Alligator mississippiensis: one gene and its partners. The protein of the gene in region 1 purifies or fractionates together with the protein of each later gene. This does not show direct contact. Links are inferred from orthologs where the notes say so. Each region holds a gene or a part of one and is shown in the gene's direction. Other genes may lie near its edges.

Region 1 (10,069 bases):
TGTGGGTGGGCGGCGGCATCGCCGCCGCCTCCTGCGTGTTAACTTCATGCGGGAATGGGTTCCGCATCCCTGCTCCAGCCAGCTGCAGCTTTCTGCAAGCTCGAGGAAGCTTCAGGCTCGGGCCGAGGCACAGGCAGGGGCTGGGCAGGGAAGTGAGGGTGCCGGGAAGGCGGAGGGGAGGATGGGGACGCGCTCGGCGGCTGACCAATGGAAGGATATTCCCAACATTTGATAATATCACTGGTAGATTCAGTCTAATGATTTCCACCTCCTTCCCCTTCTGCTTGCATGCACTCTTCCCCCCCCCCACTTTCCCCCAACGCAGTGAAGAGCTCTGCTCAGCGACCTTTCAACTCCTTGCATTACTCACCCCTTCCCCCTCATTGTTGCATTGCTGGAAGTAGTGCAGTGCATATTTTTCATCCAGGTCATACAGACATGGCAGACCTAGATCCTACCCTCACGTTTCTCTCCTGCAAGCTGAACTCTTTCTAAATAGTTCAGAGGTCAGTAGACCAGAGGCAGGGCCCCAAAGCAGCCTACAAAATATCACCTTTGTACCCTACTGGAGATGTTATAATTTCTATATTTTGGTTGTTGCTTTTTTATGGTAATAGGGAAAAAATAATCAAACACATTCGTCCTCCTTTTCCGTCTTAATCATCACTTACACTGATCAACCAGTCCATTAGGTTAAATAATTTTCCTAACTGTAATTCTCACTTAAAATACTTTTTTTTTAAATCACTTAAAAATAATCTTTACCACAGAACAAGAATAGTTATTTACAGTTGATGGTTAATGTAACAGCTACCAATCTAACATTTGTTAGAAAACTGAAGAAAGTCTTTTTAGAGAGGTTTTATTCATTAACGTTAAATTAGTTTTAGGCGGGGGGCAGGGGAAGTTTTAGATAAACGATTAGGCTTTTTGCAAGGTCATTAAAACCTAGTAAAAAGGTATCATTTGCTTATTTTGAAGTTAAAATTAAAAAGTTTTTTTTTTCCAAAGGAAATCACAACCGTTAACAGGATAAGGGTATAATCTTTTCCTCATTTTGAGGTAAAATTATTTAACCAAGAGGATTAAGCTCAAATTTTGCTTTAGAAATTTTAAGAGACATTAAAAAGGTGACAGCTAGTTCTTTTTAAAAGTTGGGAACCTGGATCAATGGTTTTTTTTCCTCAAGAGGTTTGCTAAGTATCTAGTTAACTATAAAAATGTGTAGATGCTTACCAAAAAATCAGTTATGTCGAATTGTAACAGTTTCCTAGCAAAACAATGATTGCCCAAGCCTTCTGAGTACCACATTGATACAAATTAAATTTGTAGATGCTATTAAAAATAGCCTTTTGTCATACAGTGTAAACCAAGTTTTACATTAACATTCTGGATTTACTTTTTAAAGCATTTTGTTAAACAACTTTTTACATTACAAATAAAATAATATAGTGGAGTTCTATACAAGACACTTTGCCACATTACAAAGACACTTTCAGCATAAAGTGGCTGGGGTTATCTCCCCCAGTATTGGACTTTCAGATTTTTTTTTAATGTTGAACCACTGATCCATGTTTGTATATGAATTCCCACTCTCTCTCTTTAAATATACAGCATAACAGAATGGTCAACTAGAAGATTACTTAAAATTCACAATATACTCGATTTAACAGTTTAATGAGAGAACATCTGCACAGTGCTGTACAGACCACACATGTAAACATGAGCACATGCAAATTAAATCGCAAGTTAGTACAGATCAAAGTAATACTACTGAAGCAGTCTGCAGCTTGGACTAAGAATCCAAGCGTGGTGATGGCATGTTCCCCTCATGCACATACTGAACACAACAATAGTTCTGTTTCAGGTGGATTTTACAGGCTCATATGAAGTACAAGGTCCTTTAAGAAGGTCAGATGCAGGTGGAAACTGGTCATGTTGAATGAAGGAAAAAAAAAATCTATCTACACCCAGGAACTTTTTGCTTATTTTCTACAATGGCTGAGTTGTAAACAGTGGGAACACAAATGCACATTTTGTCAATTGCAAAAGTAATTGTCACTGAAGGTCAATAAGAATTAAGATGACAAAACTATACAGTGGATTTAAATGATCATTTTTATTTTGGTGATAAATGAAGCCAAGCAGCACAGGCTCATGAAGAGAGCATGCTTCTTCACAATTGCTGAAATGCAACAGTCCCCATTGGTGGTGACCGTCTCCCCTCTGGTTCAGGGCTCCTTCTATTCAGAAACGCCTCCCTGAATCAGACAGCACTTTATGCTAAAAATCTTTGACTACCGTTTTGTTACACGTGGCTTTTTTCTGTCCTGTTACACGGGGCTCTCCCTGAGCCATGTGTAACCGCACATGCAGACTGGAGCGGCCAAAGTACACATAACAAAAGAACTCGTCAACATGCATCAACAACATCTCTTCAAATGAAATTAAATGGCTCCTGTTTACTAATACAGCTCGTAGGAGTTAGGTGGAACCCCCCCCCCCACTCAGATAAACTGAGGCATACCCATTTACTGCACATTTCCACATAAAATACAGGACATATGGAAATGCATTCATTGCTAACTAATGGACTTCACTATTTTCCATGGAATACCTATTAAAAGGGATCGCAAGAAGACTCTGCCACGGAATAAGTGAAGCCTTTCACTCCAGCGTATTGAATCATTAAACAAAACGGCAAAAACAAACTCCCTCCTCCTAGATCGCTATATGAAATGCAATACAGTGCTGCCTTTCATTTCCGTCTCCTTTCTTCATCTTCAGGCAACATTTTGCTTGCCCGGGAAAGGCTCCACAGAGCCAGACCCCTCCCCCCACAGCCCCACCATTGTGCTCCTCACAAGCGCTGAGAATTAGGAGCGGGCCCTTATAAACCGGCGGGGGGGCGGAGGACGGGATCCAGCTCAGCCTTCCCGCTTGTGCGCCCGGGGAAGGCGGGCCGGGGCTGCTCATTCTTCACGTGTCCTCGGCTTGGATCCACCATGAAACTAGACTCAAAGAAAGAAGAACACAATCCCCCCCCGGGTAGGAGCCACAGGCAGAAGCACGTTGCCCCCCCGAGCACTCCCTCGCTTCTTCCTCGTCCCCGCGACTGCCCCTCCACCCCTTTGTCCTTGTCCCCACCAGGCTCGGCCCCAGGTCAAGAGACATGGCCGGACGAGGGGGGGCTCTTTCCCGGCGGGGAAGACCCTCCCCGCCTGGCCTCCCTAGCCCTGCTGCCCGCGCAGCCAATGGCAGGCGAGAGCCCAGAAAGCCACCAAACATGAAATCGCAGGCGGAGAAGCCCAGGTCCGGCCCGGCCCGGAACAGGCACCTGGTCCCCGCACCCCAACTCCCCCCCAGCGCCAGCCTGCACGGGTCACCGCCACCCGGGGGTGATGCGCCGACGTTATCATGTGTTCTCGCCCCTTCCTCCTCCTGCCCCGCGGCCCCTCTCCCGCCCCGGGGGAGCGCGCGCGGGCGCCCTAAAAACGCAGCATTGTTGGCGAGCCCCCGGCCGCGGCGGCGCCGGGACACGCGGTCGGGCCCGGTGCGGCCACCTCCGGCCCCGCCGGCCAGCTCCGGACTTGTCCCGGGCGGCCTTCCGGCGGCGCTGCTTGAGGCGCGGGTCCCTCACGTGAGGCGCTGATTTGTAGTTTGAACACGTGGCTCATTCAAAAAGCCGGAATATTCAAGTCCTTTTTCTCCCTCTCCCGCCCGGCCCGGCCCGGCCCGGCTCCTCCCCGGGGCTCGCTACGGCTCCCCGGCGGAGGGGCGGCGCCTGCCTGCGCGGCGTGTGACACCGCCAGAGCCCGCCCGCCGCCGCCGCGGCCCGGAGGGGCTGGGGGCGAGACAAAAAAAGTAGTTTCCCCCGCTCCTTCCTCCTCGCCGAGCCGCGCCGCGCCGCGCCGCCATCCCGCTGCCGGGGCGGGCTGCGCACCCGCCCGCGCCCAGCCGCCCCCGCGACTCCGATTTGGTTACAGCGAGGTTTTTTTTTACCCCCCGAGAGAGACGCTCGGAACCGGGGGGTGCGGGGGTGGGAGGGACGAGGCTGCAGCTCGGGCTTTTTTCCCCTCTCCCCTCGCTCGCTCGCTCTCTCTCCCTCGCCTCCATCGCACTGCACATCCCCGCCGCCCGCCCGCCCGCCCGCCCGCCCCCGGCCCGGCCCGGCCCGGCCCGGCCCCCGGCGGCGCTGCTGCTGGTGGCGGTTCCTCGCCCGGTGATTATTTCTCGTTGCAAAGAACGAAAAAAAAAAAAAAAAAGAAAAGCAATCCCCCCCTCCCGCGCAAAAAACCCCAACACGACAACAAACCCCAAGCAAGCCCTGACCCGAGCAGAGCCGGGACTGGCCGCCGCGCCCGGGTATCGGCCGGGAAAATGAACAAGCTGTACATCGGCAACCTGGGCGAGAGCGTCGGCGCCCCAGACCTCGAGAGCCTCTTTAAGGACTCCAAGATCCCGCTCGCCGGCCCGTTCCTCGTCAAGGCGGGCTACGCCTTCGTGGACTGCCCCGATGAGAGCTGGGCGATGAAGGCCATCGAGGCACTTTCAGGTGAGCCGCCCCCCTCCCCACCACGCGGCCCCGGGCCTGCGGGCAGCGGCGAGCCCCGGGCAGGGGTGGGCGAGGCGCCACAGGCAGCCCCCCTCCCCCCGCGGCCGCCTGGGCCCAGCCGCCTCCTTCCCTCCGCGCTGCGGCTGCCGGGCTAGCCCGCGGCGGGGGGGCGGGGGGCGGCCTCCGCGCCGGTGCCCCGTGAGGGAGCCGGCGCGCGGAAACTTTGGCGGGGAAAGCAGCGGCGCCGGGAGGGTCGCGGTCGGGGTCGGGCCCGGCGCGGCGCGGCGGCGTTGCGCTGCGCTCGGCTTGATTTCGCTTTCCCTTTGGCTCCTTCCCGCGGCCGCCGCCCCCTGCCCGGCCCGGCCCGGCCCGTTTCCGCGCGAGGTGCCGCTCGGGGCGCGTGGGGCCGCCTCGACCCCTCGCAAGCCCCTTGCCTGCCGCCCACGGGGACGGCGCCCCGAGGCCTTTCGCCCGGGCAGGCGAGGCGGAGCGGGGAGCGAGCGGCTGCACACCCCCCTGCACCGCTGCCAGTCGCTCCTGTTCCCTCTCCCTCAGCCCCAGTGGCCTCATCCTCTCTTCAGGGGGAGCTGTGTGTGTCACACACGTACACATGGGCACACAAACCTTTCTCACATCCCTTTGAGAAAGGGCTGGCCCCCACTCCCAGCACCCCCCTCTCAAGCAGCCTCTTTCATTTGTCTCTCCGGGCAAGGCTCTTGCTCCAGGAACCCTTTAAAAGTCCATCCTTCCAGCTTGCTGTATGTTGTAGCTTGCCACCATGCTGCTGCTTCCAGGAGTTGTTCGTGAATGAGCTAACATGTTGCACTCTCGATTTCCTGTGGTATCTTCTCGTGCCACCGATTCAGTTTAGGAGGAGGTGGGGAAGGGGAAGACCCTCCACCCCCAATGGCCCACTAAAATCCATTTTCTTTTGTTGCCTTTGCAGGTAAAGTGGAACTGCATGGGAAACTCATAGAAGTTGAACATTCAGTCCCTAAGAGACAACGGTAATTTCTTGTTTCTTTTCTTTTTTCTTTTTGGTCTCACTTAGCCTACCAGAGCAAAAAAACCCAACCCCATCCCCCCAGTGTAAAACAAACACAAAAAATCTTGGGTTTGTGTTTGCCTGCCTTGTGGATAAATGAACTGCTTGCTTAAACATGTGCATGCATGCTGCACCGCTCCTCACCTCTCCCAAAAAACCCCAAACCAGACAAAAACCCCAAAGCATTCTACTATCAAGAACATTGTAAGAATCAGAGCCTCTTCTTTAACTGGCCTGCAGTAAAATGCAAGCTTTTTGTGAAAGAGGGGGTTGTGATCAAATTAAACGATTATTACCATTTTTAAATGTAAAGCCCCTGAGAAGAGTTAAATGTTGGGCGTTAGCAGGAAATGGAATGGGATGTTTTGAATCATATAACGGACAGCACACGAGCTTTGCTCCCAACAAGAAAAAGCATCTTGTAAATATGCTGGTATCAAATCTTTGATTCTGCCATGTTGGAATGCACAGTATTTGCTACTTGTGTAGCATCAGCTTCATCTGTATTTAAGAAGGGATTTTTTTTTTGGTTATGTTTTGATCTGGCATCTACAGACATGAGGAGGAAACTGGTGTCTCCCCAGGGAAGCCAGGATATATGCATCCTTTATATGTGTTTACAATTCTTTTTTTTCAAAATGATTGCTTCAGGGCTCAGTAGTTTGAAATTTCGTGGGCCTAATGTGAAGGAGCAACACTCAGACTCTTAATGCAAATCAGTGGACCACTTTTATAGTGGCTATAGCAGTTCAGTCTGCCTCTTTCATAAATGTTTAGATTGTAGTGGGCTCCAGGTTTCTAGAGAGTAATACTAAAATAGATCAAACTTTCCACGTGCTTGCTCCTGACCTCCATTACGCAGACAGGCATACTTCTGAGATTAAATTATTTCACTTAAAAAGGCATGTCTGACAAGTACACGTTTATTTAGAAAATACTATCTTTTTAATCAATTGATTTAAAAAGATGCAAGTAATAGTTGCTTTATTGTTGGAAATCTAATCGTGGGATTTTGAAAATTTAAAAGTTAAATCTTTATTCAGCATTGAAGGGAAACTTCAGAAAGTATGGTGGTGGGACTGTGTTGATCTAATGCTAGCAGGAAACAAAATCTTTTAGATGTGTGTGTATGGCATATTAGTCCTTTTAGTTTGACATTTTTTTTCCTTTGGAGAGTAACATGTATGTAGCCTTTATTGTTTGTCATGCAGGACATGTTTAACTTCAGTTTACAATAGAATACATTCAGCTCTTTCACTATATAATGATTTAAGTATTATGTATGGTTAAAATATTGTTAGATTTAAATCAAAATGCAGTGCACATGTAAGGATTGATCAATTTCAAAATTGCATTCCAGTCTTTATAGTTTAATCTGGCAATTAAATTGTAAACAGACATTTATTAATCTCTACACATAATTAAGTGTACTGATGTTTACAGTACTGTAAACAAATTGATTTTGTGCTCCCAAAGTAAACATTATTATGTTTAGAAAATCTTTTCTATATCATTGTTTAGTGTTCAAATGTATAGTTTTCCTGTTCTTATAGAGTTCAGCGGGGAGAATAAAAACATGTTCCTCATGTGGGTATAGTGTGTGCTCATATTTTTATGGGCTGACCCTATTAAAAATATACTTTATTTTATGTCTGTAGTCCCCTGGAGGGAATGTTATGCTGAACTTAATGTTAACATTTTGAGAGATGTTGCATGGTTACAATGTTTAATTATATTTGCATTTTTCCAAATAATTAGTTAGTAAACCCCTGGTATTGTTTAATCTGCAAGCCATATTTAATAAATATCTCTCATCAGTGCAATGTGGTTAAGAATGTTTTTGGAATAGTTCAGGTGGGACCTGTTTGAAATTTTAGAAATTCAGTATTTTTTTAAGTACCATCCATGATAGAAGCCTGTTGAAAATTAATTCAGTAACTTCTATGTTAAAAGTTGCTTTCCTTTCAAAAGTGTGCAGAACTTCCCTTATGCCAACTCAGCAATTTAGGATGTCCCCTCCCTTCACTCATTGCTTACTGGTTATATATCCAGAGTGACTAGCTATCTTGTAAAAAGTAAAGGCTTCAAATGTTGAATTAGTTAGCTAACTTGGAAAGATACTTATTTTTGTGTGTTCGGAATATGCCTTTAAAAAAAAACCTGATGTATTTAAAAGGCTGATGGCAAATAGAGCTAGTAATGAGATTTCTGTGGGGAGTCTTCTGTGTGGTGATTAGAGGCCCACCTAATTTGTTGGTATGTAGAAAGTCTAGATTCAGTTTTCCATGGAGCCCAGCTTGCTGGTGTGGTGTGATTTGGTTTTCTTAGCTGAATATCACAGGAAAGAAAATTACGTGGGTATTGGTTAAGCCTTTCTTTTAGCAGAAGTGTACTATTAACAGGTTTGGTCAGATGAGGTAACTTTTGCTGCTGTTCTTATGAAGTATGTGTGTAGTACTTCAAAATTATTCATCATACTGGATTGACCTCCCACATTGCTGCCTGGGGAGTTCCTACTCAATTTATTAATCCAGTTTAAAAAAATGCATTTTTAACAGGATATGCATATTAATGTTTACAAACAGTTTTCTTATATAGTCTTTTACCCCCTTCATCCCCAGATAATGAGGCCATGTATTAAGGGTGGGGGTCCTCTGTATCCTTATGTTGTAGGGAGGGTGAAAAAGTGTGGTTACTTAGGGCTGCTATAAAACTGAATTGAGTCCAGAAGACCAATCATTGTAAACTGAGCTTGATTTGTTATTCAAAATGAAATTCTTAGGCCAGGAGTCACTGCATTCCAACCCTTGTTGGGAGGTTTGGATATGTGGGCACACCCACATCTGCAAAAAATACCTTTATACCTGCTGTGAGAGGATGATGCTGTAGGACAGTCCTTGAAGCATTAAAAGACATGCGACTACAAATTGAAAGAGGGAGGCCTAGTTCATGTTTTGGAGAACTGTTGTGGGGGAGGTACAAACTAGTTAATAAGCCAAAAGTTGGTTCTTGACTGACTTCTGAAATCTCAAGAGCATGTGAAAGGAATGTAGAATTTCTGCATTCAGACCTTTATGAATTGTGGAAGGCTGTTGCAATATTTAGAGGTTTAGGTCACTCAATTCAAAACTTGGAGAAGGCATTGTAAAAATTTTGAATGCTAATTATACTTCTGAAAAGAATGCAGTGTTGTTAGTCATGATCACCGCTTCATATTCATTCTATTCTTGAGGCACAAAAATGCAGTAAGGAGTGATAAATACATCTGCATGTTATGTTTTACAGATGAACTCTTTAGGTAGTCTCTTACTGTGATCCAAGAGCAGCTGGTATCTACTAGGGCAATGTACATGCTGCAATCTGATTATTCAAACAGCACTGATGTCGCTTGTGTGATGGGCAGTTTAGCTTAGTGGTGGGGGAGGGTAGTGCTAACACTAGCCACCTGGGGTGGCATGTTGAGCCAGCCCTTAAAGATTGGTTCTTGTAAATTAAATAGACTTTTCTTCACCTAAAATTAAAATCTGCTTTACTTCATAGAAAACTTGCTCTGATTCCCTTTTTAGGAGGTTGAAATGTGTAATGCCTGAGTTCTGGTTAACTGTGAGGGATGTTTTAGTTGGGAGGCAAGGCACTGTCCTACCTCTGACTGCCTTGCTTCATATTTCAAAATAGGTGCAGCAAATTCCTTCTTTGAGTGGTGTGTGTATGTGTGGCCTCTCTTTTTGTGGGTGGGGGAGTAATAAAGTATTGTGGGTAGGCCAGAATGCTTTTTAATGGAGCATTTTGTTCCTTAATAAATTTATTACAGGGACCTACGTTTTTTAATTAGTTGAGGTTTGGGTGAAGTTTGGTTTTGAAAGAGAGAGAAATTTTTCTTTAGGTGGAAAAAAGACCCCCTGGTTAGTGATATGCAGATTAATTTCAAGCTGTTGGTTACGCATTAAAACTTGTATACCTAGGTTAATTTTAATACAAATAGGATGTGTGTGTCTGGGATCTGGGGAGAAATGGCTTATTGTCTAAAATGCTTGTGTGAGCTCCCCATGGTGGCTAAGTAATCTAAGCAGTCAGATTTTTAGTTAATGACAGTACTCCGGATTTTGTTTTGAAATAACATGGGCCTCTAAAGTAAGGGAAAAATAGGCAGATGTTAGTAAACTCATACCTAAATGTGTAAAATTGAAGTACAGACCATTGCTATTTTTATGGACATATTCATGCTCTCTTTGTGACTGAATATGTAATATGGCTCATACTTGAGTGAGAATCTGTTGCAAGAATTAGGAGTCAAAAGTTCTGCCTAGCAGTCCTGCTTCTCTGTCAGGTTTTATTCAGATAGGAACAGAAAACTCTAAGCAAGTTTATTAATAGGAATGGTGGAAAACCTCAATCTGGCCAGTTATGGCTACCTGTGCATGCAGCAAGTTGTTATAGTGGGTAGGAATTATGGTTTGCGGAGTTGGTGG
Region 2 (10,069 bases), about 1.9 Mb from region 1:
GCATTTTTTTCCCACAACAGACAAAATTGTTCCTTTTCCAAAGCACACAGATTTGTTTGTCCATTTTTTTTCCCTTATTGGGTATATTTAACACTAGGCTTATGCACTTCTGTCCTTTGCAAACATGTCCTGTCATTTGTTGAGTGGACATCAGAACTACTGAGACATCCGCCTGCCCTAAATTCCAAGTTTGTGGTCCATCATTTGACAAACGATTCCACCATGAAAACTGTCCAGGTGAAGTAGACATTTGGTAACCTCTACAGTTATGAAACGCAAATTTGTTGTTCAATTAAACAATTTCAGTGGCAACCCTAGCTATACCCCATCACCTTACCTTTCTGTATTGGTATTTAATTTCAGAAATTGCTTGATTTCAGCAGTTTGTTCTAAACTCCTAGTGAAACATTAAGTGCTATTTTTATGTGCAATGGATGATATGGTGTGATGAAAGGAGGCTAAAAAAATTCAGTGTTTTCTGGTAATGGTTAACTATTATTCTAGTTGACAACTGGACAGCTGAAATGGAGTAGAGCCCTCCTTTAAAAAAAATTGAATGCATCTCATTAGATGGCAGATTTTTAAAGCCAAAGTCAATGTCCTTTCTCATAGCCTTACTTTCTGGATCTGAGATTTTAGTCAGAATAATGCTGGGGAGGGGAGATGTGGATGTATCTTTTACATAGAGATGCCAAGTTATAATTTTGAAAAAAAAATATGTTGGTTAAATCCTTAAATATTTTAGGTGTGCATGAACTTACCAATGTAGTTTTATTGGAGGCCATTTTTATTGCAGACTTGCAGAGCTTTTACTAGAAAAATGCATGACAATTAAAAGGAAGTTTACATTACTCAGAGAAAGGCATCTCAATACAAGCATGGTCCTTTTTCCAACCCCCATGTGTTCACTGTATATGACATTCAAGTGTGGATTCATCCAGAACAAAACTAGGTTGTTACTTTGTCTGGTGTAACCCAAGACCACATGGTGAAACTAGTGACATAAAACCTGCACTTGCACCCGTGGTTAAAAAATGTCCTTTTTACAGGACGTTCTGAGGCACAGGGATGTTTCAGAGGAAGCTGAGGACCACCAGGATGCCTTATATGCTTGAACCCAGAATCATAAGAACTCAGATTGGAGCAGTTAACCAGAAGACATAACTGCAAGCATTTGCAAGTTGCAAAAGAGAGATTTTTTGCTGGCAGCAGTTCTGCAATAGTGAAACAAGTAGCCAGAGTCCCCCGGGATCCTTCTATATAACAGTCAAGACACATCCAACCCCAAGGCTGCCACCTGATCTTGAAGTTTGCAAGCATTAGGACTGGGATGCTGACAGGGCCTATGGAGGAGTGAAATATTTAAGCCTAAAGATAAATGTATTGTTTGACTGCACCCAGGCCATCCCCCACCTCCCCTCCCCCCTCGTCCTCCATGTTGGGCCTCAGCCTGGCCACTTCTTCAGGGACCCCCCCCACCCCGAAATTCTAAAACGGCCCCGATTTCACTGAAAAAGGCGATGGATAAAGCTCCAGAGAAGGCCAGAAAATCCCCTTCGACTCAGCCCCGCCGCCCCGGGAGCCCAGGCAGCGCGAGGATCCCGGGCCCTGGCCCCGCGCGGCACAGCCCGGCCCGGCCCGCCCAAGCAGAGGAGGGGAGGGGGAACAAAGGCCCGTTGCCGAGGCCCGGGAGGGGGGGGGCGGGGCTGCGCCACGGGCCTGCGCTGGGTGGGTCCCGGGCGAGCGGGCGCCCCGGGGCGGCCTCACGCAAGGCCGAAGCTCCCCGGCGGCGGCCTCCTCCGGGCCCGCGGGCATCGCCACGTCCCCCATCCCCTCCCCGGCCGCAGCGCGGGCCCCGGCGCCGGCCAGCGCGCTTTGTCTGCCGCACACGGCCGCCCCGTGCCCTGCGGCTCCCCCGCCGGGGCCCCTCCTCGGCCGCTCCTGCCCGCGCCCCGTGGGGGCTGCAGCGGCGCCGAGAGCGGCGGAGCGGGGGACGAGAACGAGAGGAAGGGAGAAGGATACAGACTTCACGGCGGCTCCGCGGCGTCCCCGTCGCCTCCTCGCTCCCTGCGCGCACTGAGCGCAGCGGCATCCGCGGCAGGAGGGAGGGCGGGAGGGCGAGCAGGCGGGAGGCCGGGCGCGAGCGGGGCGGGGCCACGAGCGGAGCGGGGCGGGGCGCTGCGTGCCTGCGTGAGGGGAGTTGCCACCGCCGCTGCTGCTGCGCCGGCGACGGGGCCACAGCGCAGGATATCGCTGCTGCTGCCGCCGCCGCCGCGCGCGCCGGAGCTGCCGCCTTCCCCTCCCCCCAAGTGCCGCGCGGTCGCCAGCGTAGCAGCGGGCCAAGACGTCTCTCCCACGGGAGCCTAGCGCAGCGCCGGGGACCCAACCTCGCCGCGCGCCCAGGCGGAAGAAGATGCCTCGCGGGGACCGGGAGAGCGACTGGGTGAGTCGCCAGCGGGGACGCAACATGGCGGCGGCGGCTCCCGCAGCCACGGCCGGGAGGGAGCGGGGCTGGGCCGGGCAGCACAGGGCGAAGGAACCGGGCTAGGAGAATGGCGCAGGGCGGGAGCACTGAGGGAAGAAATCCGCTCTTAGTGGTTCGCCCTGAGGCGGGCGGACTGGGAAGGGCCGGGCCCGGGAACCGAGGAGTGGGCCGCGAGGGTTTGTCCCCGAGCGGCTTCGGCCCTTCCCAGAAAGCTGGAAGAGGGAGCAGCCTCCGCCGAGCTGAGCCGAGGCGCTTCGGCTCCGGTCGGCCACGCGGCGCCTCACGATTCCCTTTCCGGAAATGGCCGAAGCGGAGCGTGAGCTTGCCGGGTCCCGGACTCGCTCCTTCCGGAAAGAGCCGAACTTCCTCGGCCCAGCGGCCGCCGCCGTTTCGACTTTTTCCGTCAGGCGCCGAAGCAGAAGAGCTCGACGACGACGGACGCTTCGGCTCATTCCGGAGGCGGCCATTGCTCCCGGAGCCGATGTTTTTTTTTCCTTCCTTTTCTGCGGACAGTAAAACACAAAGGGGAGCTCGGTGCCACGGCCCAGTCTCTTCCCCCCTCTCGGGAGCCGCGCGCTTTGGGCAGGGCAGGGCAGGGCAGGCTGGCGTGAGGTGAAAACAGGTTGACCGCGAACCCGAATTTCAAATTGCGTAACGGCTGAGGCAGCCATTACTGGGCCTGTCGCGTGCGCTCGCACCCGGGGCCGCCCGCACCATGAAGAATATGGTACGTGCCTGGCGGCGCGCGGGGCTCGGCCGGGGGGAAGGGGTCGCGGCACCCCCACATCCCCTCCTTCCCCCCCCCCCCCGTGGGTCGCTAGAGCCGGCCCGGGCCTGAGCGACAGTTAGAGGAGGAAAGTTCTGGAAGCGCCGAAGGCGGTTGGGGCTGGCGCGGGGGGAGGGAGGCGGGGGAGGGGCGGGTCGATTGCCGGGACCGTTGAACCGAACGACAGCGGGGGGAGGGCCCGCGTGCCCCTGGCGACTGCCGGCCGCGGTGCCCCGGCTTTTAATGGCGGTAACGAGGCGGAGGGAGAAAATGGCGGCGCGCAGATAGGCTCGTGTGTGAGGAGGGCTAGCGGCTCCGCGCCAGGATGGGGAGGCGGGCCGTGAGCCAGGGCAGCGCCGCGGCCAAGCTGGTGAGAGGCGGCGTTGGGGGGGAGGGGGGCTGCGGTTTCCTCAGCCGGCTGCGGGTGCAGCCGGGCCCCGGAGGGCGGCGCGCGGCTTCTCGAGGGAGGCTTTTCTCCTGCCGCATCGCTTCCCCGGCAGGCGGCGGCTTGTGGGCGCCATTTTCCTTCTCCGCAGCCGAGCGGCCCCGGCTCCCGGCGCTGCCACATGGCTGCCACCTGGAGCGCGATGTGCTCGGGCCCTGGAGGCAGCGCGCTCCGGCGCAGGGGCAGGAGGCGCCGGCTCTGCCCGCGCAGCCGCGCATTGCTCGGAGCGGCCTCTGCGCCGCAGCTCCCGACCGCGCGCCGTTTTGGCGGGCGTTCAGCGCCGGGATGCGGAATCTTCTCCCCCGCCCCTCAAATTTCTAGCCGCCATTTTTTGGTGGCTTTGCTCTTGCAGCAGTTGAGACGAATTTGTTTTATCTTAGTGTACTAGGGCAGAACAAGGAGGCTCCCAGTAACTTGATAAGCTCTTCCCTTGCACAGGATACAGATGCTCAACCGGCTTTTCTTTTGGCATTTTGAAACAGTTTCCTTCCTCTCCCCCCCCCCCATCCAGATTTCATCAGCAAGCAGGTAAAAGTGAGGTGCAGACATTTTGCTTTGCCAAGTGTAAAACTGCAGTTTTCAGTATAGTGGGTTGGTTTAATTCTGACTTGTAAGCTAACATTCACACTCCCTAAAACTCAGGGGAAATAGTCTTAGTCCTAAGGCTCTGTCTTTGCTAAGGCAAAAACATTGTAATGAATGTGTTAAACATCCCAATGCATGCAACATATTTGGTGGCTGTCCAGTAAAGGTAAATCCTCAGAGGAACAAGAAGTAACACACTTAAGCATAAGGCTGAGTAACAAAGATCATTTGTAGGCTAACTAAATTAGAGATGCACAAACTTCCATGAGCCTGAGCTTACCTCATGAAGTGATGTGAGCATGTGCATTTCTGATTTGGTTAGTCTACCCTGCGTTTCTGCTTGACTTCAGAATGACTTGCCTACCTATCTCCCTCTAATTGTACGTTGTCATCAGAGTTCATATCCTACACGAGGCCGACTGCTTGCCTGAGACTTCACTTAAATGCATGTGTATACGCACGCATGCATGCAATGATATATTAAACAGTAATGTGAACCATCATTTAATATGGAGATTAATTATAGTAGTCTTTTCCCTTGGTAATCCCAATGGCTGCCTGAAAGCTTGTCTTACATTCCCCTTCTCTCTCCTCCCTCCCCCCATTATATAGTTGGTCCAGTAAAAGACATCACCAAAACTCTTGCTCCTCACATTTCTTAGACTAGTGGTTCTCATCCTTTTTAGATTCAAGATACCCCAAGGTAAACCAAAAGCGCTCTTGGACAGACTCATGGAACGCCTCAAAAAATGTCAGCTCTATTTTTAAAAGTAGTAATATTCACTACTTTTTTGGTTACTGAAAAATAGAGCAGTTTTATTTGTTGTAAAGAATTTGGAGACACCACAACTATGGATTTCTATTTGAAATCTCTGGGTGTATCTTGTGACTTATGTTTGGAAACCTAACAGTGCTAACATTGTATAGTACCCTTGAAAGGATGTCAAGGCATGCCACGAGGCCACGTACTGTGGTTGAAAATCACTCCCTTAGATCAGCATTTCCCAACCGTGGCACATGGGTGTGGAGCCACACCCCCTGCCCACTGATGCTGTGGACACGGGGAGCATGGCTCCAGCCCAAAATGCCATCCGGCTGGCTGCACACAGCTTCCCCTGTCCCCATCCAGTGTGCTGTTTGTGCTTTTTTTATTCAGGTAAATGTGCTGTGGGGCAAAAAGGTTGGGGGGCACTGCCTTAGGCCATGTGGGGCTACATGCTCCAACCCTCCTTTCCTAGTTGTATTATTCCCATATGGCAATTGCTTATATTGGAGAAAGTAAATTTATTTGTAGTTGTCTTGTAAGGAAGTTGTAGCCTACAAGCAAACCTTACCAAGTGTCCTGCACCACCAATGATCCACAGGCTTGTTTGAGAACCAGTAGTGTAATTTTATTCATTTCACTTTTTTAAGTGACTTAATGCCTAACTTTTTCTAGTAGGTATTGGTTACAGAGTTGAAATTGCTCTGGTTTTGTTTTTTTGTTTTTTTGTTACAGTAACATAAAATACCTATAGAATTAGTCTGTTGGCATGCCAAATGATAGTGATTTGATCTAAGTTTTATTAGTACTTGCTTTAAATTGTCCTCTTCCTTTCTTCAGTTCCATTTAAAGTTTTGTAATGTGAAAGGGTGGTTGGTGAAAAATTCATTAAAATCTACGTGTTTGCAATTATTTTATGTTGTAATAGTGCAGGTATTCTAGTTGACTGTTAGAATTAGGCCTTTAGGCTTTTTTTTCCCAGTGGTTAATGCACTTGGCTTCTTGGGCTAATTTTCCAACTTTTCAAATGCAGAAAATGATGCTGATGTTCTATTAAACTGTTTGAATCTTGATTAAAAAGCATAGTAGAAGATGTATGTGATGCTGTTATTACACTGTTGGCAGATGCAGTATTCATTTTTTCTAAATAGTTTTCTAGGGGTTTATTGGGGCCCATGTTTGCAATACATGATTCAGTTTTTTCAAAAAGTCTGAGTACTACACAACTCAGGCTCTGCAGACAGTTCTAAAGAAGTACAGGGTAAGGCTGTAACTTAGAAAAATGAACAGTGCAATTTCTGCAATCTGAAATTATAGTCTTGGTTTGAAGTCATTATCAAAAGCTGTTTTGGCATTGCTTTCAGTGGTCCTTCTTCCATGTCTCACACTAGTTGAAATCCTGCCTAGGCAGCATCAAAAAGCTTTTATTAGTCTGAATAGTTTATTGGAAAATAAGTTGAAGTGATAATCATTTTAAAGCAGGTTACAAACACATTTATAGACAAAATTGGCAAGTCTCTCTTTAGACTAGTTCTTTTTTATTTTTTTAATTTTTTTTAGGGTTGGAGAGAATAGGTAGGGGAGAACTTGCACCATTTTATTAGTGCTGGATTAGCCCTTCAGGTACATTCCATAAGTAGGGACTTTCCAAAATGTAGGTGGCAGGACAGGTGATTTCATGGTGCTGACTGCCATTTACATGGTCTCTGCGGAGTGGGCTCCCTGAAGCCCCTGATTGGCCAAGGGGCCCCACCCCCTCACTGCTGGTTGGTGGAGAAGGGTAGGGAGGGCCACATGCAACGCAGCCCTCTCAGCCAATCACTGCTAGCTTGGCTGCCCCTTTTTGTTACTGGGCCTCCCAGTTCTCCCCCCTCTCCCAGTAGCCATGGGTTGCAAGGCAGGGTTGCCAGCATTTTTTTTAGTAAGTCCCTGTGTCCCCCAGTGATTCTGCGATTTGAGTAGGTCCCTATCCATAAGTGCTAGCTTGATACTACTTTTAAATGAATTGATAAAAGAAATAGCTTAACGGCTTGTAGTTGTGTTTGGAGACATGTCTTATCTATTACTTTTTAATTAAAATGTGTGTTGGAACATTCAGCACAGACTTGTTTTAATCTGATCTGGCAAAATAAACATTCTGCTTATTTGAATCTTGCATACTGTTTTTCAAAAATAAAAAAATATTGTAGGAAGGACAGTTAAGGGAGCCTCTTGTATAAGAACTCAAAATTAGTTAAACTAATTTTGGGAGGTATAGGGAAGTTGATAAATCTTAGAAAGTTAATTGTGAAGGTGAACTCATTCCAGAGGAGACAAAACTTGAAAGATCAAATAAGCAGTATGGTATTTTAAAAAACACAAAATAAAACACAGCCTAAAGTTGAAAAAGCATGTTCATTGAAAGTTCTGAATTAGTTTGAGATGATTTAGTCTTACAATACTAGTTTAGTTTAACTATACTGTAAGGAAAACTTGAAATGACATGAATGTTATCTTGTTCTCCAAAATAGAGGGAAAAGGAACAGTTTCGCAAACTGTTCATTGGTGGCTTAAGCTTTGAAACAACAGAAGAAAGTCTGAGAAACTACTACGAACAATGGGGAAAGCTTACAGACTGTGTGGTAAGTTTTATGTATTAGTAACAGGTGAATAATACGGGCTTAAAGATTTTGTAAAAATGGTATGCCATCTCCTGACCAAATTTCAAGAACTGTAGACTTATTTTTGAGAGTTAGGTTAAATATTTCAGCTTTATCCTTCCTGCAGGTACATGTTTTGTGGTCAGTGCTTACTTAATCCATGCAGCTGACACTTGGCATCAGTACTGCCTCTTAACTGTGTATTATGTATGTTGAAGTGTAATAAGTCCTGTTTAATTAGGTTCTGTTTAATTGATAACATATTCCTTTAATTTATTTTAATGAGGGCAAATGGAAGCAAGTGGGATAAGATCTTTAAAAAACTTAAAAAAACTTTAAAAAAAAACTTTAAAAAAAAATTGGTGATGTACATCTTAAGTATGTGAATGAGCCATTGATAGTAATTGCTCTTTATTATGAAAATTTACTGTTTCAAAGTGTTTGTAGTGCAAAATGATATAACACGTTTTTTATATAAATCAAGAAAAATATAAATTAGAAAAGACATGTTACTATCACAAGTTATACAAAAACTTGTTAGTGGAAAAATAAAAAAAATTAACCGTCTTTAATAGGTGATGAGAGATCCAGCCAGTAAACGATCAAGGGGATTTGGTTTTGTAACGTTCTCCTCCATGGCTGAAGTTGATGCAGCAATGGCTGCCAGGCCTCATACAATTGATGGAAGGGTGGTTGAACCTAAGCGAGCCGTGGCCAGAGAGGTAAGCAGAATCTTGGCAGCTTTTGGTTATGTGGAAGTCTGTATTAACATTTTGGTTAGGGTATACTTATTTTTAAATTTAAGCATAGTAAACTCCTAAATTTCTTGTAGTTGAAAGGCTATGGTTGAGTCTAGAGGAAATGTGACCCGCTTCTTAAATTTTTACTTGTTAACACTGCTTTAAACTTCTTAAAGTACTATGTGCAGGTGTAGTTGTTGATTTTTATTAACATGAATTAAAGACTTGCTTGACAGGAGCCATTTCAAGTTAAGTGAATGCTCCTATAGTGAGGGTTTACAAATCAGATATATCCCCAGTGCTGACTCCGTCTCTGAACAGAGAAGTATATTTTGGGGAACTTCATGTTTTGCCAAATCTGAAAAAGAGTGGGATCATGGCTTCCTTAAAGTCAGTACAGGTCAGATTCTAATAATCTTAGGTGATATGTAGAATGTGAAAACCATGGTCTGAAAATAAAGAATGCAGTCTATTTAAAAAGCATACTTTCGTTTGAAAAACTTAATCATCAATATCTTTACAAGTAAAACCTAAGATTGATTTAAAAAAAAATGTTAGGGTAAAAATATCTCTTTTTTTTCTAAGTTTGTCATGTCTCTTTAGATTTTTCACATAGCAAATGGAGGGATTACAAGCATTTTAAAAATAAAAACAAAACAAAAAAAATCCCTAACCCTGGCAGTAATATTGCAGATGAGGGGTGAGATACTTAAAATATTGGTATTCACTTTTTAAAATTAATCAGACTTTAAATTGACTTCCAAACATTTGTAAAATGTACATGTGCACAATTTCCTCTTCCATTTTATTAATTTAAAAAAACTTGTAATACTTTCTAGGAATCTGGAAAACCTGGTGCCCATGTTACTGTGAAAAAACTTTTTGTTGGTGGAATTAAGGAAGATACTGAGGAACACCACCTTAGAGACTACTTTGAGGAGTATGGAAAAATTGACACTATTGAAATAATAACTGACAGGCAGTCTGGTAAAAAGAGAGGCTTTGGCTTTGTTACATTTGATGACCATGATCCAGTGGATAAAATAGTTTGTAAGTATAGCTGTATTATAACTATATCACAGCTAATGGTGCTTTTGCAGTAAATATTTATGTAAGTTCGGGTTTCATCATACTTCCGTGTATAAAGGTTGGTGGGATCAAAGTGTTAGTTCAGGCCTTCAGTTAATAAGGGGAACTTGTGTGACTGTGTATAATATATATATTTTTAATCCTACTTTAAAAAAAAAATGTCCTCCTTCCTATCCTAGTAATAGAAGAATATCTACAATCTTGGTTGGTATTGGTATGAGAAAACTGTTTGTATTTGGCTGTTGACTTTTCTTGTTTTTAACCCTAGAAGTAATATGTACTGAATGTATTTTTCATGTTTTGTGATCACAGTGCAGAAATACCACACCATCAATGGTCACAATGCAGAAGTAAGAAAAGCTTTATCTAGACAAGAAATGCAAGAAGTTCAGAATTCTAGGAGTGGGAGAGGAGGTATGGAAGTTTATTGTTTTATGATTTTAGGTCCTCTTTTCAGGAAATGAATACTTAAGATAATTCAAAATCATTCTAGGTAACTTTGGCTTTGGTGATGCACGTGGAGGTGGTGGTAACTTTGGTCCAGGACCAGGAAGTAA
Region 3 (10,069 bases), on another chromosome or scaffold:
TTGCTGGGGTCACCTGACCCCCAGTTATCTTTCATGCTTGGTGCAGGGGGCTGGATCCGATGATCTTCCAAGGTCCCTTCCAGCCTTACAATTTATGAATCTATAAATTGAATTGATGATCCTAGATGGGATGCTGCCTGTTTTAATGCCCTGATGCAAAGTGTGTAATACACAGCTCCAACCTCCTCTTTACCTTGCTCCATGTTTCACAGATAGCATCCAAATAACTACACATTATTACTCCCCTGGCCCCTTAACTGGGCTGCACTTTGCCTGGGGCCCAACTTGGCCTCGGGTGTCTTTAGACATGCCTGGGCCTCATTCCCCCTCACTGGGACCACTAGTCCGTCCCCCTCACTGCGGCTTCTGGGCCTTACATGCCTCGGGCCTCAGGAATCTGTCAATGTACCAACTTAGCCAGTGGCCCACTCAGGCCTCAGGTGTCTGTCAACATGCCTGGCAAGCCCCACTTAATGAGCCTGGGCCCTGTGCCTTTCTCTCAGGGTATGCTCCCCTACCTTTCACCTCCACAGGGTAACTGCACGGCAGTGGGGGCTGAGGCTTTCCCGCACCCCATACTCACCATCCAACCCCAGCAAGGTGTAGTTTCAGGTCATGGCCCAGGACCAGGAACCTCCTCCATCCCCATAGTTCCTACTCTTCTCCTCCAAGTGTTCTGGGAGCAGCAGATCTCAAGCTGGGCAATGTTACCCCAACAACACCCCTGCAGCAACTGCTAGCCCTGCTCCTCTTATACTGAGGCTGCTCCACCCTACTCCAATCAGGCAGCCTCCTGGCTGTCATGTGACTGCCTGGTTGTGTCTGCTCACACCTACAGGCCTTCTCACAGACTGTGCAAGCCCTTAAAGTGGCAGGCACCAAAGCTGCTCTGCCACATCAGGCTACATAAGCGTGGTACTTAATGTCTGTCCTCATTTTTGCAGTTGCCTCCAAATGAAGTGTTGGCTTTTCCATACATTTTTGTTATGATTTTTAAGTGAAGTTACCCCAATAAACACTGACCATCTGTGCTCTTGCTTCTTCCCCTGACAGCCATCGGAAAGCTTGTCAAGAAATGTGTCTCTGTATGTTTTCTCAAAGCCTGGAGTGAGGTGCGGATGAAACAGCCCCTTTCAGCCCTTCTGACTTTAAGCCAGCTCCAACTTCTTGGTTTTGATAGATCTGTTTCGAAATGGCAGTTGTCCGCTTCAGTTTTACATGGTTCATTTCATCTGAAAAAACAGCAGTTGCTTATGCTGTTATCTGTGTTTCTTGGATTCTCTGCCACAGTGAACTGACTAGCTGTGACACATAGAGGTGGGAATGGGGCAGAGCAGCATAAAAATAAAAGACAACTAAATGCCAGAGAAAGGGGTAAGGAAGGCAAACAAACAGATTGAAATGTAGGAGAAAATCATTTCTTGTGTAAAATATGGGTGGAGTCTAACAGGTTCAGAGAGGTATGAGGTTTCATACCCAAGAGCCTACTTCATCAGATGCTATGAAAGGACACTTAGATTTATTCTCTTGTATAGCTTCTGTATAGCTCTTGTATAGCTCTTGTATAGCTTCTGACCAAACAGGTTGTTGCACATGAAAGCTCATGCCTCCCTGAACCAGTTACTCTCTAAGGCAACCTTCTACCTGACTTCAGACTAACAGTTAAATGCTTCTCTTGCATCAGACATGGAAACAATAAAAAAGCCTCAAGACAAACCAGTTGCGGCAAAGTATTGTAGCTCCTATCAGATGGGGACAGAATTTTTATTGAGCTTACCTCTCAGGGTGGCATTTCAATGATGTTGTCTTTCTGTAGCCCTGACTGAACGCCTTCATACAGTGTAGGTCATCAGGTTAGATCACGCTGACACACTTTACCTGAGGTGACCATGGAAACCATAGAGAAACTTCAAACCTCATACCTGCCTTTCGAAAAAGAAAGGCTGATAGGAAGACATTATGCTCTTCTACAGTGGCAATGCATAGGGGTGCATGGGGGTGCACGGGCACCCCCTGAGAGTGCCGGTGCACCCCCTGACCGGCCACACTCGCTGATGACTCTAAAACTCATGCTAAACTTGGGCCTACTCACAAAAGTTAAAATACAGAATAATAATGCTAACTGCATATTGCAGGAGGATGTGAGTTCATGGCTAGGCCAGCTGAGAAGGAATAATGAAGTATCTCTTCCAGCTTATCTTCCTATATTCAGGATGATTTCAGGCAGACTTAGTTGTCTGGTGTGTAACTATATGAAATGTCTATCCTTGATTAATTAGTATGGTAAATATTTCTTTTGCAACTAACTCGTGTTTATGTGCAGGAAGAGACATTCTCCATATGTGATAGATGTCTCCTCCTGATTTAGTATGTTTTTCCTGGCTGTTAATCAGTTTCTTGATATGTTCCAAACTGGATAACCTCTTGTAACTGAAGAAGGTAATTCATTCAGATTAGAAATTTCTGATAACCAGTAATAAGCAGGTTTTTCCTGTCAATTACTGCTTGGGACTCTCTCTTGATTTACACGACTAAAAGAATACTTTGAAGATGCTAAACTAAGGGTATAAAAAGGCAGTAAAACAGCAAACAGCACGTGCGCTCCGAGAGTGAGAAATCTACTTGCTTGAGAAGTTGTAGAGAAACAGACTGCCTCCTTCTCGCACGTTTGGCGAGAAATCATCACGTTATAGCTAATTATGGGACTCTGATTTGGTTTGGGCTCACTTGACTTGATTTTAAATACTTGTAGTAAATAAAGCCTTTCTGTCACTCATCAAACGTGGTGTCGTGTCAATCCCTAGTTTGGGCTAGTTCGGAATCCTAGATTTTTCTGTGCTAAAACTCGCTGCTTAGGCAACGGGCAGGGAGTTCTGGCAGCCCCCCTGCAAGCGCTGGCTGGGGATCAGAGTGCCACTGCGCTCCCGGAAGCAGCTGCAACCACTCCCGGAAGCGGCCACAGCCACTTCCACAAGCAGCTGCAGCGATCAGCTGTCTTGTGATGGGCCACAGGGGGATCCCCCCTGCCCCTCTGGCTGGCAGGATTGGCCATGGGGGACCCCCTCCCCCCAGTTGCTGACTGGTCGCTGGAGGGGCATGTGCCACCCCTGACTTAGGCGGCACCAGTTGCCCATGCTCTTCTAGTTTGCTTTTGGATGGATTCCAACATCATGGTACTAATCTTTATCAAAGAAGGATTCAGGTGCCTTCAAACTAAAAAGAGTGTGTGTAATTTACCGTGTTCTTTGGCTGGACGTTTATGCTTCTCAACACGACTGGCTGTTTTGGCACCCTTTTGGGAGGACAGCTTGGCGTGCCATTTCTAGCCTACAAGGGTACTGAACGTTCTCTTCTGCCCCGACTTGATATTTCAAATTCTAGTAAGGGAGGGTGGTCTCGTACCCTTTAACATTGGCCCTCAGCCAGACCTGCTGCCATCCCTTGGGGCTGCGCCTCTCCTACACCTCACCTAGTGCTAACCCAACATTGAAGCTCCTTGTCCAATAGGTTGAGGCAAACAGCCTTCTGAAGCGTTTCTAGCTGTAAAACTCAAAACAAAACAGAGTGTCCCAAAACAAAACTATAAATGAGCAGTCCTTCTGCAACAGTAAAGCATATTATGCCTTTGTCCATGATGTCCCCATTCCGTGGGGTAGTAAAGGGGCTGAAAAAACAGTTACTATGGCTCAGTGCCCCATTTACTCATGATTCTAATGTTCTCTTATGCTTTCTCTTTTAGGCTCCTTGTCATCCCAGATCCAGTCGTCTAGTCTTGTCTGCCAGGCCAGCACTTCAAGAAAGTTCTCTGGCTTCTCCAAGCCAGCATTTGATAGGGCTTCCACCAATCGCCCCTGCTGGGGCATGCTGTGCCTGCGCTTCTTTCTCTCCCGCCCCAGGAAGTCACTTCCAATTCCCCTGGGGTTTTCCTCCAGGCTGTTCTTGTCTCCCAGCTCAGGTTTCACCCACTCAATCGGCATCGGCATACGCTCATAAAGTGTGCCCATGCTGGTTCATCTGGTGAAAATTTGACCCCTCATTGCATGAGGTACCAAATACAGGCAAACCCCACTTAGTGCTCTTAATTACTTCCCAAAAAAACCAGTGTTAAGCAAAAGGAGCATTAAGTGAAACCTAAAGTATTTGAGAATCCAAGGTGGTGACTGCAAGTGTTTTTAATGACCTAAGATGGTGACTGCGAGCATTACAGCGAAACTTGCTGAGCGCTAAGTGAAATCAGGTATCAATTTAAAATGAGCATTCTAGCACTAAGTGAAACAGCATTCAGCAGGCTTTGCCTTTAACAATGTTTCAAAATGTAGTGTCTTTTATAACTTGTCTTGGCTGAACTCCTAGCCTGTGGCTGTTTTCAGAATGGGAAGGGGGGAAAGGGAGCAGGCATCAGTCAGGGTTTTTTTCAGCCCCCACACCCAAGGCCAGGCAGGTATATTAAAACCCCAGCTACGCAGAGGCTCCAATTCACCCACCCCACTATTCAGCGGGGCCTGGGGAGCCCCTGGAAGGAGCTCCTTCCCTGCCTTTCCCCCCTCCCATTCTGAAACCAGTAAGCACGGGCAGAGAGCCTGGCTGTTGCTATGGGAACCTGGCTGCGACTCCCCCAGCTAGATTCTTCTCCCCCTGGAACCAACAACAGCGCACTTCTGTCTGGTCGGGGTAACGCTGTAACTGAGCGCTTTGCAGAACAGGCTCAAATTACAGCTGGGAGCTGCACCTCTGTCTGAACCCCAAGGTGCTTATGCCCGATTTCAGCTAACAGCCGCCGTTGGGTAGTTGTAAACCACTGTCTGAGCAGGGTGTAGCTCCTAAACGAGCCTGAGCGTCTCCGGAGCGAGACCCCAAACCAGCCACAGCCCCGCGAACGCGCTCGCGGAGAAGAACCCGCAGGGCGGGGGGGAAGACTTTTTACTGGGCACCCGGGGGCTCTAGCCACCCGCTGTCGCTGGTTGGCTTATTTCCCCGTCCAACAAGCAGTCGCCAAGGCCTATTGGCCGGCAGGGTCCCGCCCCCCGCCGTGGCTCGAGGCGGCCCGCGCGCGCGACCCGCGTCTCACGTCACGCGAGCGGAAGCCGGTGGCCGCCGTTGAGGTTCGGCGGGAAGTGAGCGCTCCGCCGACGTCACAATGAGGGCGGCGTGGATTGGGCAAAGGCGGTGACGGGGGCTCATGCCCTGGCAGACAAGGGTGAGACAATAAGGGAGACGCGCCGAGCGGCCACACGCCAGCCCGCCTGCAGCCCGCGCCGCGCCCCTCCCCCCGCTGACGTCGCCGCCCGGCTCTGCCCGCGCGCCGCGGCCCGGCCCGGCCCGGCCCGGCCCGGCCCCGCTGGCACAGACCCGCCCGCCGGCGGCTCCGGGGAACGCCCGCCCCGCACCGAGACCTGCGCCAGGTGAGCGCGGCCGCGCCGGGCCGGGGCCGCCCGGCGAAGCCGGCGGGCTGCGTGTACATGCCAGCGTGCGGGGGGGCACTTCCGGCTAACGGACGGGGCGGGGCTCGCGCCGCTTTTGTTCCCAGTCCCTCGCGGCCGGGTCTAACCGGCCCTTGTTCCCGCGCCCAGCGGCTTCCAGGTCTCCCTTCCCTTCTTCTTCGGTTTGGGCGCAGGCGCCCACGGCCCCGGGAGTGGCGGCAGCAGCCCCAAGCCCGGTGCCATGGGCGCCCGCTCCTAAACCGGGCCGGGGAAGGAGATGTTGGCGTTGGGCCGGGCTGAGGCCCCCCCACCCACTCCCCGGCCTGGGCCTGCCTTGTGCCCACCCGCAGGCCCAGCTGCCCTTGGTGGAGGACCCTGTCCCGTTCCCCGCCCCCCACCCAGTCTGGAGGAGCTTCCTGGCAGCTCAGCTCCTTGCATAGCTTTATTCCCCTTAAGTTGCCCGGAGCAGGAAGGAGGCCCCTGTGGTTCCAGGCTGCTAGGCAAGGACCCACCCCTTGCCCCAGGCCAAGCTGGCAGCTGGTTAGTCTTTTTCCTTCTTGCTCTCAGTCCCACTTCAAATCTTGGGCTTGGTTCTGAGCGGCTCCTAACGGGCAAGTGACAAACTGGAGGACTTGGGGAGGAGAGTGAAATTCCAGGGGACTGCTGCTCCTGCCTTGAGGGCAAAAATGTGTTCAATGTGGTGGCTGTATAAAGACTCTGAAGTACAAAGGGGATGGGCTTGGGGGGGGGGGGGGACAGGAAGGTGTAAACATCTCAGGGAAGGATTATGTTGCAAGAAAGGAAACACATTGGTTGATATGGAGGAGAAAAAGTGAATGGAATCACTAAGAAAGTATTTGGCATGCAGATAAGATGTGGGTAGAGATTGGCTGATACAGTGAAATTTATGAGCCGAGTCCAGAGAGTGCAGCCCAAGAGCAGTTCCAGAATCGTCTTTCCATTGCATTGACAGGCTCATTTTTTTTCAGCAGGGCTTTCCCTGCAAACCTGAGTGGTGCAGTCTTCCACCTGGGTTTGAACCTTTCTTTTAGGGTACATGCATTGAGCCCTGCCAATAATATGTGGCTATGTCTAGGCTGCAGTTAGAAAGATCTTAGCTAGCTTTAATGTAGCCAGCTTGGGTATTAGATGTCTAGCCTCAGCAGCATGGAGCTCTGTTACAGGGTAAATCAGCACTTGCTGAGATTCATGCTGTTCTGGCCAGACTGTTATCAGTATCTGAATTAGGTTGAGTGTATATCTTTAGCTATATTGCAGTCACTTTTTTAACTGTAGTCTAGAAAAGCCCTTTATTTCTAACAGCAAAACTTAGGGGGTAGGCAAAAATTTTCTGCCAGGGTCTTTATCATTGTAAGGATGATTGTTATGGAGGAGAGCTGCCATTCTCTCTCTCTCTGCTTTGCTGAGCAGCTACTGTAATGAGATTGGGAATTCTGACTCCAGTATTGTGTAAGGCCTTAAAATTGGTGTCCTCTGTGTATTACTCCAAATGTCCTGTAGTATTGACATTGGTGGATACAGATTCTCCCTAGCAACCCAGTACAAGTTCAGAAGCTGTCAGCTTCCTGATATTTTCCTTCAGTGAATTTTCTATTGATTTATTTATCCTCTATCAGTCCTCGGGTATAAAACCTTTGTGTGTACCCGGATGAAGTTCCAGTTATTTATGAAATATCACGTACTTTTATATGAGGTCTTGTGACAGTTAAAATGCAGTTCCTTGATTAGGAGGTGGTTAAACTTTTGTGCTCTCTGCATCATATCTGAATCCCATTAAAAAAGAAAGGAATTGCCAGTTCCATAAACATGAAAATATATGCAGTCCCATTGACTTAGGTTGGGACTGCTTATGTGTGTCTTTGAGACCTAGTCAATTTGTGTCTTTAGTGATTCCCACTAAAGGTCTCATGTCCAACAGATGTGCAGATTTATCAAACTGCTCCTCTCTGCAACAACCAGCTAAAGTAAAGATAGGTGCTTTCAAGCTTGCTTTGGAGGGTGACCAACCTCAGGCTAATTTGGATCAAGCAGTGGAAGTAAGTTCTAAAATGAAGGCCTCTTATTAGTACAGTATTCTCCAGCTCTGTCTTTAAATGAAGATCCCATTTGTTTGTTTCCTTTGCATGGTATGGAAGAGGGGGACACTACTGAGTAAACAGATCCTCAGCTAATTAGCGTCCTGGTAGTTAAAACTTAAATTGCCACTTGAAAAAAGAAAAGTGGGCAACTTGGGTAACAATATTGGGATCATGTATCCTTGACAAAGGTATGCAGCTTATTAAGTAGGCTGTCACTTACATTTTTTTTCTCAGGTAAATTCAACCTCTTTGTTCTTAAGAGTTTTGCTGACAAAACCTGCCTTAACGCCATCATTGTGCTCAGTATTTTCTTCATAGAAACAAAGGACATGATCTTCCTGTTGCCACCTTTTGCCCAAGTGTTCAGGCTCATCAGCCTCTTAATGTCTTTGTCCCAAGATGTTATGTTTTTGACTTTGAGTTGACCTTCTATGAGCCACTTTCAAAATGTTTCTCTGTATTGCAGTAATATGCTTATTGGTGGATGCTTTGTTTTACTTGGGGTATTACCTAAGGCTTAGTACCTTTGGCAATGTCTAAAATGTACAACTATTGTAGAGTGCTTAGATTAGATCACTATTTTTATTTGTTCATATAGAAGGTTTATTTGTCACTTAATAAATTTATGCTTTATGGTTTTGTAATGCCACAATTTAATAATGCAAGCACATCAACCTCATGGTGATCACCAATGTACATTACTACTGCCTCATCCCAAGTATGATATCACAATCTTCTACTTATACACAACTGGGAAAATGAGAAAGGAGGATGTAGTATTAATTTGTCTTAAAGGGAACATTTTGTGTTACGAAGAGTTAATCAAATGAGAGACTTGGATCCATTGGACACTACACGAACACAGAGGCTGCGCTGACATGCAGCCTTCTATGTCTCATGTATCAGCGTCCCTGCACTTAAAAATGGGGGCGCTTTATCTAAAGCTCATTGAGCTTCAGTTCAAGCACCCCCACTGCCATTTTTAAGCGTGGGGACATTTTAATTAAAGCAGCTCTTGGATCTACTCTAATGAAAGCGCTGTCCCCTTCCCACCCCCAGAGCACATGTAAAAATGCCCATCTGTTTTGGCTAGGAAGCGCTTAGCAAATTAGTATTGCAGTTTGGAGTTCTTAAACACAGCTCTTCACTTCATGGTTCCATGTGGACATGTATATTTTAATTTTTAATGGAATTAAAAAGTAACACGTTACAAAATTATATAGAAAAATAGTACTTGTGCTGTGTAACTTGATTCATTGTACTAGTTGAATATTGACTTCATGGCGCGCACATTGCTCAAAGATGCCAACTATTCAAATAGAACATAACACAACTGAAGCACTTGAGATTAACTTCCAGTGTAGGTGGCCTTGTCACAATATTCTAGTTTAGGGGGTTTTGCTTCATTTGGTAGAGTACTAAATTCCATTTTCATCTATTATAATAGTCTGGGTTATAAATGTGTGTGTAAAAGTCTCTCTTGGAGGGCTAGTCAACCTCAGTAGGATCTTGGTACAGATTGTGGTAGAATATGGCCACGATGTAGTAACCATGTTCAGTTAGCCCTATCACTTATTTGACCTGTACGCTTTTAGGACTGGTGCTGTTCCTGTCCTTTGTATTTTCCTTCTCAACTGCATTATTCTCTCTGATTGCACATAATCTTGTACTTGCAGTAACTTCCCTTAAAAAAAAAAAAAAAAAAAAAAAAAAAAAGGATGGGGGAAATTTGCATAGTTGGAATATTATGCCTCATGAGTCTATCGAGTTGGCTCCTGGCAGGTTGTATGTTAGTGCTCTTCTAGAATTTTTATTCCCTGCTTGTTTATATAACTATGCAACAAGTTTGGCAAACGCAGAATAAATGTTCAAGGCACTCAGCAATACTGTCATATCCTTAAGGAACACAAGTCTTCTCTGCAAAAATAAATACGTCACAACTGTAGCAGTGCCATCTAATTGTGAATTTTGTCTAGGGAAGTTGGAGATTTTACATTCGCTTGTCCCGTAGACTTGTTGGAATATGGTAATTGGCTGTGCTGGATCAAAAGTGCTGCTAAGAACATGGAAATGTTCTGTGGGCATACATGAATTTGGAATACTAGTCTTGTGATGGTCTGAGGTAAAATGGAAATCACTTCATGGATTTGTAACATACTGTGGTTGCAGTCTCATTTGTGAAATGTTGCCTCACCGTTTTGGGGTTTTTTTGCTTGTTTTTTGGTGGGTTGGGGATTGTTTTATATTGGTATCTTTTACGATAGTTCTCTTGTAAAGAAAGAACCTATGTTTTCTTTCTCTCGGTGCTCAAGTTTTTTAAATTAAATTCTCCTTTTCTGTAAAGTCAAAAGTACCACAGGACATTGAAGTGCCTTGAGGCATCAAACCCTATTAAGATGCCTTTCCAAGTGACCCTGTGATTTAGTTTCTCTGCTGGGTCATGCAGTGGTGTTGAAGTGATGTAGGCTCCCCATGTTGCCCTATGAATTTTCACTCCCTCACTTGTCTGCATAGCTAGAAATACTGTAAAGTAATACCCTTATAAATTGT

What was found.
Region 2: the proteins of IGF2BP3 (region 1) and HNRNPA2B1 purify together in Homo sapiens (affinity purification with mass spectrometry; 4 studies listed by BioGRID and IntAct, with this or other methods). This does not show direct contact. The link is inferred for Alligator mississippiensis from reciprocal best matches to the Homo sapiens genes IGF2BP3 and HNRNPA2B1.
Region 3: the proteins of IGF2BP3 (region 1) and G3BP2 purify together in Homo sapiens (affinity purification with mass spectrometry; 3 studies listed by BioGRID and IntAct, with this or other methods). This does not show direct contact. The link is inferred for Alligator mississippiensis from reciprocal best matches to the Homo sapiens genes IGF2BP3 and G3BP2.

What each region holds. Positions count from the first base shown.
Region 1 is NC_081828.1:158,690,503-158,700,571, forward strand, and holds the start of IGF2BP3 (insulin-like growth factor 2 mRNA-binding protein 3), read left to right. Parts: upstream 1-3,831; 5' UTR 3,832-4,380; coding exon 4,381-4,555; intron 4,556-5,501; coding exon 5,502-5,562; intron 5,563-10,069. UniProt on the Homo sapiens protein: RNA-binding factor that may recruit target transcripts to cytoplasmic protein-RNA complexes (mRNPs). This transcript 'caging' into mRNPs allows mRNA transport and transient storage.
Region 2 is NC_081828.1:156,758,930-156,768,998, forward strand, and holds the start of HNRNPA2B1 (heterogeneous nuclear ribonucleoproteins A2/B1), read left to right. Parts: upstream 1-3,520; 5' UTR 3,521-3,576; coding exon 3,577-3,621; intron 3,622-7,554; coding exon 7,555-7,665; intron 7,666-8,258; coding exon 8,259-8,405; intron 8,406-9,262; coding exon 9,263-9,473; intron 9,474-9,824; coding exon 9,825-9,926; intron 9,927-10,005; coding exon 10,006-10,069. Other genes in the region: CBX3 (chromobox protein homolog 3), read right to left, coding at 2,027-2,092. UniProt on the Homo sapiens protein: Heterogeneous nuclear ribonucleoprotein (hnRNP) that associates with nascent pre-mRNAs, packaging them into hnRNP particles.
Region 3 is NC_081825.1:164,552,608-164,562,676, forward strand, and holds the start of G3BP2 (ras GTPase-activating protein-binding protein 2), read left to right. Parts: upstream 1-5,096; 5' UTR 5,097-5,179; coding exon 5,180-5,197; intron 5,198-5,206; exon of another isoform or gene 5,207-5,402; intron 5,403-10,069.